3 linked regions of the Kluyveromyces lactis genome follow. Each later gene encodes a partner of the first gene's protein in a complex. Links are inferred from orthologs where the notes say so. Each region holds a gene or a part of one and is shown in the gene's direction. Other genes may lie near its edges.

The links.
Region 2: EAF6 (region 1) and YNG1 share a complex: the UniProt entries of both Saccharomyces cerevisiae proteins name them as parts of the nuA3 histone acetyltransferase (HAT) complex. The link is inferred for Kluyveromyces lactis from reciprocal best matches to the Saccharomyces cerevisiae genes EAF6 and YNG1.
Region 3: EAF6 (region 1) and KLLA0_D06831g share a complex: the UniProt entries of both Saccharomyces cerevisiae proteins name them as parts of the nuA3 histone acetyltransferase (HAT) complex. The link is inferred for Kluyveromyces lactis from reciprocal best matches to the Saccharomyces cerevisiae genes EAF6 and TAF14.

The regions. Positions count from the first base shown.
Region 1 is NC_006041.1:567,756-570,802, forward strand, and holds EAF6 (Eaf6p), read left to right. Parts: upstream 1-1,320; coding exon 1,321-1,668; downstream 1,669-3,047. Other genes in the region: ARP7 (Arp7p), read right to left, coding at 1-870; AIM24 (Aim24p), read left to right, coding at 2,404-3,047. UniProt on the Saccharomyces cerevisiae protein: Component of the NuA4 histone acetyltransferase complex which is involved in transcriptional activation of selected genes principally by acetylation of nucleosomal histone H4 and H2A. The NuA4 complex is also involved in DNA repair.
Region 2 is NC_006042.1:1,523,937-1,527,338, reverse strand, and holds YNG1 (Yng1p), read left to right. Parts: upstream 1-1,352; coding exon 1,353-2,024; downstream 2,025-3,402. Other genes in the region: ubiquinol--cytochrome-c reductase catalytic subunit CYT1, read right to left, coding at 1-447; RPL3 (60S ribosomal protein uL3), read right to left, coding at 2,281-3,402. UniProt on the Saccharomyces cerevisiae protein: Histone-binding component of the NuA3a histone acetyltransferase complex. Targets the NuA3a HAT complex via histone H3K4me3 to facilitate transcription initiation at promoter regions.
Region 3 is NC_006040.1:587,456-590,870, reverse strand, and holds KLLA0_D06831g (uncharacterized protein), read left to right. Parts: upstream 1-1,158; coding exon 1,159-1,167; intron 1,168-1,275; coding exon 1,276-2,037; downstream 2,038-3,415. Other genes in the region: AIM41 (Aim41p), read left to right, coding at 93-650; KLLA0_D06809g (uncharacterized protein), read left to right, coding at 2,596-3,162; STE4 (G protein subunit beta), read right to left, coding at 3,272-3,415. UniProt on the Saccharomyces cerevisiae protein: Functions as a component of the DNA-binding general transcription factor complex TFIID, the RNA polymerase II associated general transcription factor complex TFIIF, and the chromatin-remodeling complex SWI/SNF.

The DNA.
Region 1 (3,047 bases):
CTCTATGTCATTGACATCTGCCATTTCTACATCTCCGTTTGCATTGTTACTTACGTGTATCACTGGCTTGAACAAGAGTTCTCCAATGGTGTATAGCTGTTTGTTAGTGAAGGTGAGAGTTTTCTTATCGAGTAGGAAATTTTTGGTCAAGTCCATTGGTGACACCATATGTTGGTAATGAGGAGCCACGTCATAATTAGCATCCAATTCAATCGGAGAAACTTGCAGCATGCTATTCTTGAAGTTGGGTAGCCATTCAGTGGCATCCCTCCAGATTTTCGTTGATTTGCCCGAATCCTGCTTCAAATATTGATCGCAGATCTGCCAGTTTAAGAATGCACCACCGATCTTGTTCTCCTTGCGGTATTGTTTGAAAAGAACACCATCAATGACAACGTCCACTTTCACTCCACTGTGGCCAATGTCCACCACAATTCCACTCGATCTTCCCTGACTCAACGTGTTGCAGACAGCCTCATTCAAAAGTTGGACCATTGGAAAACCGTACCCCAACAGTTGTTCCATAAATCTCTTACGACGCGCACTGTTTAAGTCGGAAGGTAAGACAACACATACTGGATAGTCTTCGAACTGTATGCCTAGGCTTTGAAAGATGTACTGCCATTGAGCATCCATCATATCCCAATCATTTGGAAGTCCGTTCTTATCGTACAATTGGTATATTTCAGCGCTCTCATCGTCGCAATGCTCTATCATTTCCCATTTACCGAAAACTTTAACATCCGATCCATCTCTTTTATAGGCCAAATATTGAGATGGTACAATTAACTGCGGCAAATCTTGGTTGCTGAACCCACAAATAACCCTAGTCTGCGAGATCTGTATCACCACACTCTTCATGGTCGGCATCTTGAACTTGCAATAGATATAACGTAATCACTCTATATGCACCAGAACAAAGAGAAGATCTTCAATTTTCAAAAGCAGATAAGGATTAACTTCTTCAACAGCTACCTGTTTTTGCCGATTATAACTGCTATCAATGGAAAATTATGGCTCTTAAACGGGATACTAGAGTTGATAACACTGTTTATGTTGATGTTTACATGTTGGCTTTTTTTTCGTCGGTTCTTCGAATTTCAAATTCCAAACTGAGTTCCAGTACTGTTACCCGGACTCGTCGCCAATGTTAATATTGTTTGAAAGAACGCACTACTTCAACATCCAATTTGCATATATAATAACAAGAAAGGATGAAACAGACGATCCGCTATCGAACGGATTTGAATCTGGTTTTGATTGTGTTCTACTCTATCGGTAAAGTGATTTAACATAACCTAACACTCATCTCACACAACTATGGACGAACAAAAGAAAGAATACGAGAAACTAAAGAAGAAGCTTCGAGATGCTTTAGTACAGAAGAAACAACTCGAAGCCAAGTGGAATAGTTTAGAGCAAGAGGTATACGATAAAGAAACAGAGTATCTATCACAGAAACCATCTTCCAGAATGGGGAACATTCTGCTCGGGTTTCAGGGTTTCAACAAGAGCAGTTCTGCGCAGCAGATATTGTCTGACCACTCACATTCGTCAAATGCCCAGCCATTGGACGATAATGATCGCATTTTTTCATTAAGTTCGTACCTTTTTGCAAAACAATTGGCTGCTTCCAATCATCAAGAACAAACGAAGTCCAATGATTGAACAGGAAGCTTATCTGTTTGCCCTCTTCACTGAGACATATCCAGGTCCAGGACACCGGACACAAGAGACAAGAGACAAGAGACAAGAGAAACTAAGGGAGGGGGAAGAAAAACGGTATTATTTTACCCCGCATCTATTTCTCTTGAAGCACTCTTTAAATGCTCGTGATAATTAATCACTTTGTAACATTATGTATTCTCTCTTCCTAAAGTATTTTCAATTACTTACCCTTAATTTTTGAGAGGCCTCTTTTTCTTTTCATCCGTCAGATCAACGATCATAGAATCAGTTTAATCAATAAAACTTGCGTCAAACTACTCGTAGAAGCAAAGGATTGAATCGTTTACAGATTTCCAGTCCAACCGAATTGTCCCAATGTCTTAGATGAGACTCAGGTGCTATGTAATGGTGTATGTATGTGTGGTTAGCATGAATTCTAACCTCCATTCTTGATTGTTAATTGGAGTATCACTCAGCCAATCAATTTTCAGAAACTGCCAAAACCTTGAAATTTTCAGCTTCAAAGAATTAGATATTATTATAACAAAAGATAGAGCAGCAATTACACATTCAAACAAACCAATGAGAACAAAGACAGAATCGTGAATTGCTGTCGATTAGGAGCGTTTGAAAAGGTACCCAATTGTTGATCGTTTAATCGGATTAGACATCAATTGAAGCAAATAACTGTTTTTGTCTCTCTTAGTGAGAAAAAGTAGCGAAAAAAGAAAAAATATGTGGAGGCGTTCTATCTCGATTTTAAGGCCGTCACCAACAACAGTGATTCCATCCAATGTGTTGAGCGGATCACAATTAGAATTGAAACCATTGTTTGATAACCATGCTGAAACCACTAGAGAGGATGGATCTAATGTTACTACTACACAATTCCAACTATTGGGGGACAACCCGACATTAGCCTCGATACAAGTTTCACCTTCGATCCCATTATATGTGAGGCACAACTCTATCGTATCGATACACGATTCCGATAGATTATCCAACGTTAATGTTTCTTATAATAAATGGTTCACGTTTTGGCCTACTCTTTCGTTAAGCAGATTTGATAAACTTGTGGGAACCAACACCTTCAACTGTTTGGTATCATCTCGTAAGTCTTCAGATACGCTATCTGTATTACAGTTAAACGGTACACAGGATTGGATAGTATTGAACCCAAAGAGCGTAGTATCTTTTGAAGGGAATTCTTCGCTCTCCATCCAATGGTTCCACAAATGGTTAAACTATTTCAGATGGATATCGAATAAGGTGACGGTTCTCAGGAGCTACGGGAAACTGTCGGGACGTGGTAACGTTTTGTTAAATGGGAATGGATCTGTCTATAAACTAGAGTTAAAATCAGAAGATGATCAAATTAT
Region 2 (3,402 bases), on another chromosome or scaffold:
AGCTTGTTCGTTTGGATATGGACCTGGGACATAATCAGCCAATTTACCAGGTCTCTTCTTTGGGTTACCTTGGTCATCTGGTTCGTCATCGTATTCGAACTCTTCAGCCATGGCTCTGACTTCGGCGTTAGTGTGAGAAACACCAACCATGGTTCTCCATGCAACACGGTCCAAAGAATGGCATGCAGCACAAACTTCACGGTAAACTTGGTAACCACGTCTGATAGAAGAATGGTCGAAAGTTTCCAATGGACCGTTGTGAGACCAACCGTAACCTGGGGCATGCAAACCATGCTCAGCAGCTGTCATAGCGTCAGCAGTCAAGGAATCAGCATACAACATTGTTGAAGCACCAATACCGACAACAGCAGCACCACCAACAATGGCTCTTTGAACATAAGTACCTTTTACGGCCTGTTTAGCGGCAGTAGAAAATGATCTGAACATCGTTTATTATTATGATATCACTTTAGTTTCCTATTAATTGAATTCTCTTCTAAAAGATAAAAATGTCCCGAATTTTGATATTCTAACAACTATTTGTATGAATCAAAGCTGATATTCTTGAATTTATATTCGTATCACACAGACAATGGATAATATCCTGAGAATGTATTATTATTCTTTTCTTAATATCTGTACCAGAAAGACGAACAAATAGACAGTTAGGTAAAGGACAAAAATTTAAAAGACGCAGGCTTCTTTTATTCCGTTCTTTTCAAAAATAAATATTAAATCAAATCCGTTGAATTGATTGATCGATCAGCGCAAACTAAATCCCTGGTTAATACTATAACCAACTAAACGTATATATAAATAATCTATGTATATCGTTTCCAAAAAGTTTTCTCTAGTTTGAAAAGAATTATATACTATATTTTTGTAGATATTTTTCATTATATCGCTTTTTACATAGAGAAAAAATCGATTCCCAAAATTTTCAAGCCGTTTTTTTTTTTCCCTTTCGCTGTCTGTGAGCATTTCTCTGCTAAGTTTTCTGTCCAATCCAATGATAATTGTTTGTGATTGATTATGTTTAAAGTATTTTTTTTTATTTTTCGAAAGCGATGTTTTTCTGAAGGTTTTCTATCCTAAGCGCACTGGAGGATGCGTGTTAAGGGCGATATTCCCGACGAAAAGTCACTAAGTACGGGAAAATATCCATATGTGCGGAGGTTTATGAGAAGACGGCACGTTCTTCGATGTGATTGGTCAGAACTCCATATCCCAAAAACATCAATGTCATTCACGTGACTGGGACTTGTCACGTGAATGTTTTCCTTCTGGGAAAACGTAAAACGTCTTTCCATTCATATCCATATGGCAAAAGCCATTCAAGAAAGAGTAAGTACATGCTAACGCCTAGAATAGAATTGACCATTCTGGTCTTAGTTAATCGGCTAGAAGGAAACAGCTCAAGAACAATGGAAGATGTTAGGTACGGGTTTCTCAGTACACTGGACCATTTACCATGCGATGTGATTCGCACCCTCTGGACTATACAATCATTGGATATAGGTGATACTAATAGAGATGGATGTCATTCAGAAGAGATGCTGCGACAAGCGCAACATCTCTTAGAGTTAGTACGGCAAGAACATTCACGGCTCAATTTTGAAAAACAAGAATTGGAGCGATTCTCTCAGATTAAGGCAAGGTACGATAGTCACTTGAAGAAACAACCGAAATTGAAACCTTTGCCTCATCACAAACCGATCAAGATTAAGATCACTATGAAATCAAGGTACCCAGAGGCAGAAAGGGAACAGAAACTGATTCAGCAAGAACATGTGAATCATGATAAGACGCACAAGCCAGAGACAGAGACGTACTGTTTCTGTAGAGATGTGTCGTATGGACCCATGGTTGCTTGTGATAATGAATCTTGTGCCATCGAATGGTTCCATTACCCCTGTGTAGGATTATCAGCCGCACCCAAACCCAATGAGAAATGGTTTTGTAGTGACATGTGTAGGAAACAGTACTCCAATCATCGGAAAAAGAGCAAGAGAAGAAAGCGTTGATGAAGACCGCGGAGGCTCTTCAGTGCTTCTCCAGAAAAATAACTTGCAAGAAGGAAGCGCGTGTAATTATTATTTATTCAAATGCTAATATTTTCATATTTAAAGATAGTTGTCAAAACAACAGGAAATATTATGAACCAGCCGATGGGATAGTGAAAGAAAGTGTAAACACTTTCTTGAGTACTCCAAAACTAGTCTATAAAATTACAGCATGCAAAGCTTTTTACTCAATTCGACTCTATTAGAGTTGAGGAGTTTATAAGTCCTTCTTCAAAGTACCCAAGAAAGCGTGCTTTTCAGCTGGGGTTTGGAATCTACCCTTACCGAACTTAGAAGCAGTGTCGATCCACTTCAAGGTAACTTCTTCCAAGGCCTTTCTGGAGGTGTTGGTGTACAAGGACTTTCTTAAAGTAACAACTCTCTTTCTGGTACCTGGGATAGAACCCTTCAAGATAACGAAATCATTGTTGATAGCACCGTAGTGGACGAAACCACCCATTGGGGTGATGGTCTTCTTGGTTCTGTCGAATTCGGTAGCGGCGTTAGCTTCGTCGTCACCCTTACCAACTCTGTAGACCTTGTGGTTAATAGAGGTTCTGTGGTGGTAACCTCTTTGACCAGCTCTAGCAACGGACCACATAACGTGGGCTGGATGCCAAGCACCGATACAAGCAACCTTTCTCAAACCTCTGTGGGTCTTTCTTGGAAGCTTCTTGGTACCCCATCTGTGGGTAACACCTTCGAAACCGTGACCCTTGGTAACGGCAACGACATCGATCATTTCGTTTTGTTCGAAGACAGAGTCAACGGCAACGGTCTTTTCGAAGTGTTCCTTAGCCCAGTCAACCTTGTCAGAGACAGAACCACCGTTCAATTGGATTTCAGCCAAATGAGCCTTCTTTTGAGACAATGGAGTCTTTCTGACTTGGGTGTGGACCAAGACTCTAACAACAGAAGCGTACTTCTTGATTCTGGCCAATTCTCTGTCGACTTGGGCACCGTTTTCAGCGTACTTAGCAGAGTACTTGGTGAAAGCCTTCTTCTTGGACTTGTACCAGTTCTTGTAGAATCTTCTCTTGACTTCGTCGGACAAATGTTCAGCCCAGACGGTGGTCAAGGATCTCAAACCTCTTGGGGTTTCAACGTAACCAACAACACCGACAACAACGATTGGTGGGGTGTCAACAACGGTAACAGCTTCAACAACTTCACGCTTGTGGAACTTGGAACCTGGTCTGTCCAAGTCTCTAACGATAGTGGACATACCAGCCTTGTAACCCAAGAAAGAGGTCAAAGCAACTGGCTTAGTTTGGTCGTCCTTTGGGAAAGACTTAACTCTACCTCTAACAGAGGCAGCTCTCTTTCTTGGCAAGAAACC
Region 3 (3,415 bases), on another chromosome or scaffold:
CAAAGAAACGTTACATTTAATAGACCTTCTATAATCTTGATCGTTTGGTTCAATCTTCAAGACAAGCATCCAAATCATTAGCGAATACAAAGATGTTAAGATGTGTTATCCCAAGCGTTCGCGCTACTGCAACGACCAGAACCTTTGTTAGATTTGCCAGTTCTCAAGGCTACATTGATGGGATCGCTGCATTAAAACAAGACTTGAAGAAGGCAATGCTTGCAAAAGACAACCTAAGAAAGACAACCATTAGAGGTGTACTATCTACAATTAAGAACAAGGAAATTGACAGTAAGGATAAGGATCTAGATGAATTTGTATTGTATGATGTGTACGCCAAGTTAATCTCGCAAAGGAAGGACTCCATCGCTGAATTTGTTAAAAATAAGAGAGAAGATTTGGTAGAGAAAGAAGCCAATGAGATAAAGATCCTCGAGAATTATCAGACTGCCTTGCCTGTTGCTTCTAGGGAGGAAGTAGACGCTCGTGTTGTGCAGATTTTAACAGATCTAAAAGAATCAGAGCCATCTATACAATTGAAGCAGGTCTTCGGAAAAATTGACTGGAAAACACTACCAGGCGAATTGAAGGCATCTCCAGCTGCTATCAGGTCCAGTATTAGCTCTCAATTTAAGAAAGTGTTCCAATAAATCACCTAGCTAAAACCAAACTTGTACAGAGTCATTCATTAAAAAAAAAACTCCGATGAATGACGCCCTTGTGATTAAGTAGGCACATCAATCCCGTAAATAAATGTACTTACAATTATGCAATATCAAGCCGCAGCAATGGATTTGACTCACGTGAACAATTCTCTATCTAAAGACTTCTGATAAAGCCATGTTGTTCGCTAGGATGCTTTGCCAGATCACGTGATAAAACATAGTAACCAATACTCTCTGGTAACTACTAAGTGGGGAGAATATGGACATGATAGTCTTTTGCTCTCTCCACAATAGCATAATCGTAACTCTTGCATGCATCTTCAACTGCCTTCCTCCACCTTATTGTAGTACTTCCTCTAAATTTCACCAAACATTGAAAACATGAATTGACTAAATTTCAAATTCAGAGATAAATAATGGCAATTACAAGTACGAAAATATCCAGAAGAGAAACATTAGACGTGCTTATAACCCCCAATCAAATCAACCAACGATGGTGTCGGTATGTAATGATTAAAAAAGACTGAAAAGCTTCTTCAGTTCGTTTTTAGAAGGTTTCTTTTCACAATGAGTTTACTAACAGACCTTTTATTCAATATTTCGGAAACAGACTGTGAAGAGAACGGTCAGAATTAAGACCAAGCAATCTGTCCTACCGGATGTACCACCTCCAGTAGAAAACTTTCCTATGCGTCAATGGACCATTGAATTAGTTCTTTTGGATGAACAAGGAAACGAAATTCCAGCCACGATATTTGATAAGGTAGTGTATCATTTGCATCCAACTTTTGCAAACCCTCATAGAACATTCACGGAACCTCCTTTTAGAATTGAAGAACAAGGCTGGGGTGGCTTTGAATTGTTGATAAGTGCGCATCTTCTTGAGAAAGGGGGCGAGAAGAAGATAACTCACGACCTACATTTCATGAAAGATGCCTATGAAATTGATCATGTAATCCAAGTTCCTACCAATAAGCCTCTTCTAAGAGCAGAACTAGAGAAAAGTGGACCTGTCGATGAAGTAGCATCAACAGCAGCAGCAACTCCAAATGCAACAGCGACAGCTGCCACCACTCCAGGTGACAAGAGAAAAGCATCTACTGTCAATGGTGATGTAAAAACGAAAAAAGCCAAGACCGCCTCCGCTTCAACAGTGAAAGGCTCTGTGAACTTGGAAAAGTTAGCATTTGGCTTAACAAAACTAAACGAGGATACATTGGTTGGAGTAGTACAAATGATAACTGATAACAAAACTCCAGAAATGAATATTACGAACAATATCGAAGAAGGTGAGTTCGTTATTGATTTATATAGCTTGCCTGAAAGTCTATTGAAGAGTTTATGGGAATACGTCAAGAAAAACACCGAGTAACCGGACCTCTCACATGTTTATCTAATTTAACCATTACAATTATGTAGTTGTATTTTATAACTTACATCTCCACTAACAGGCACTGCTTGCAGAAAAAGTACCAAATGAACACTATAATGAATAGACAAATCAAGCCTAGGGAAAATTGCACTGAAATATTTGATTGAATTCGCCCTTGGACTTGACTTTAATTATTGTCGACCTCCTACCGATGAGCTTATCTCTGAAAAAAATAATAGTTTGAATCAAATTCTACATGATAGCATATCACAATACTCCATTATGTTTTACTATTGTTGTAGCACAACGGTCCGCAAGCCGTCGATAGAAAACTGTATTGGCATCAAGTCAACACTTAACATAATGGAAAAAGATTTTGTAATGGTATGTTTTAATCTAATATTGCCATAACGTTTGTCACTAGCAGCATTGTCACTAACAAGTGGTTGTTTACAAACATATCAGCCTTACGTTCCTCGAACAATAAGAGTCAAAACTCAACAAATTATTTTACCAGATGCTCCTAAAGTCTACGAACTGCCGACAAGGAAATGGAGAATGCAATTATTTATATTAGATGAAGAAGGAAACGAGCAACCGGCCACCTTATTTGATTATGTTACCTATCACCTTCATCCCACATTTGAACGACCACTACGAAAACTCACGGAACCTCCCTTCACCCTAGATGAGCAAGGTTGGGGTGAGTTTGAGCTAAAGATAATAGCAAAGGTCAAATTTTGCTCGACAACTTACACTTTTCATCACGAACTATCCTTCGATAATAATGCGTACAATGTTGATTATGAGGGAAGGTTTCCCTACCATCAAACCAAACTGCGGGAAGAGTTATTAAATTCTGGCAGTGTACCAATTTACAATGAAGATGAAATAAGTTTGGGTCAAGTTACAAACTTACAAAGGGCTATTAATCTTATATCGGTATCTGATGTTGATACTATTCAAAAGGTAATTAATACAATTGTTACATTTCCTCCGGTATCTGAAGAAATTGCTAAGAGACGTCATCAAGAGGATGACATTGTAATATTATTGTCTCAAATTCCGAACCAGCTGCTCAATAAAATTTGCAGGTTGGTGGAGGCTTCCTCAGCTGCATCTTAAAGTTTCACTTACTGCGATGAACAAGAGCCAAACTGAGCGGTTTCAGTAGTATTATAAGGGCTATTTTGCGGCTTTTTTCGATATGCATTACCATTCTCAGTTCATCATTTCACTGATGAACCGGTGTCCAAACTTTTAGGGTCATATCCCATGAGCTAGACACTACTGCCATTCCATCAGGGCTCGTCTTGACGGCATTTATTCTGTTTCGATGACCATCAACTTTGCCAATCATTTCTCCTTTGATAATATC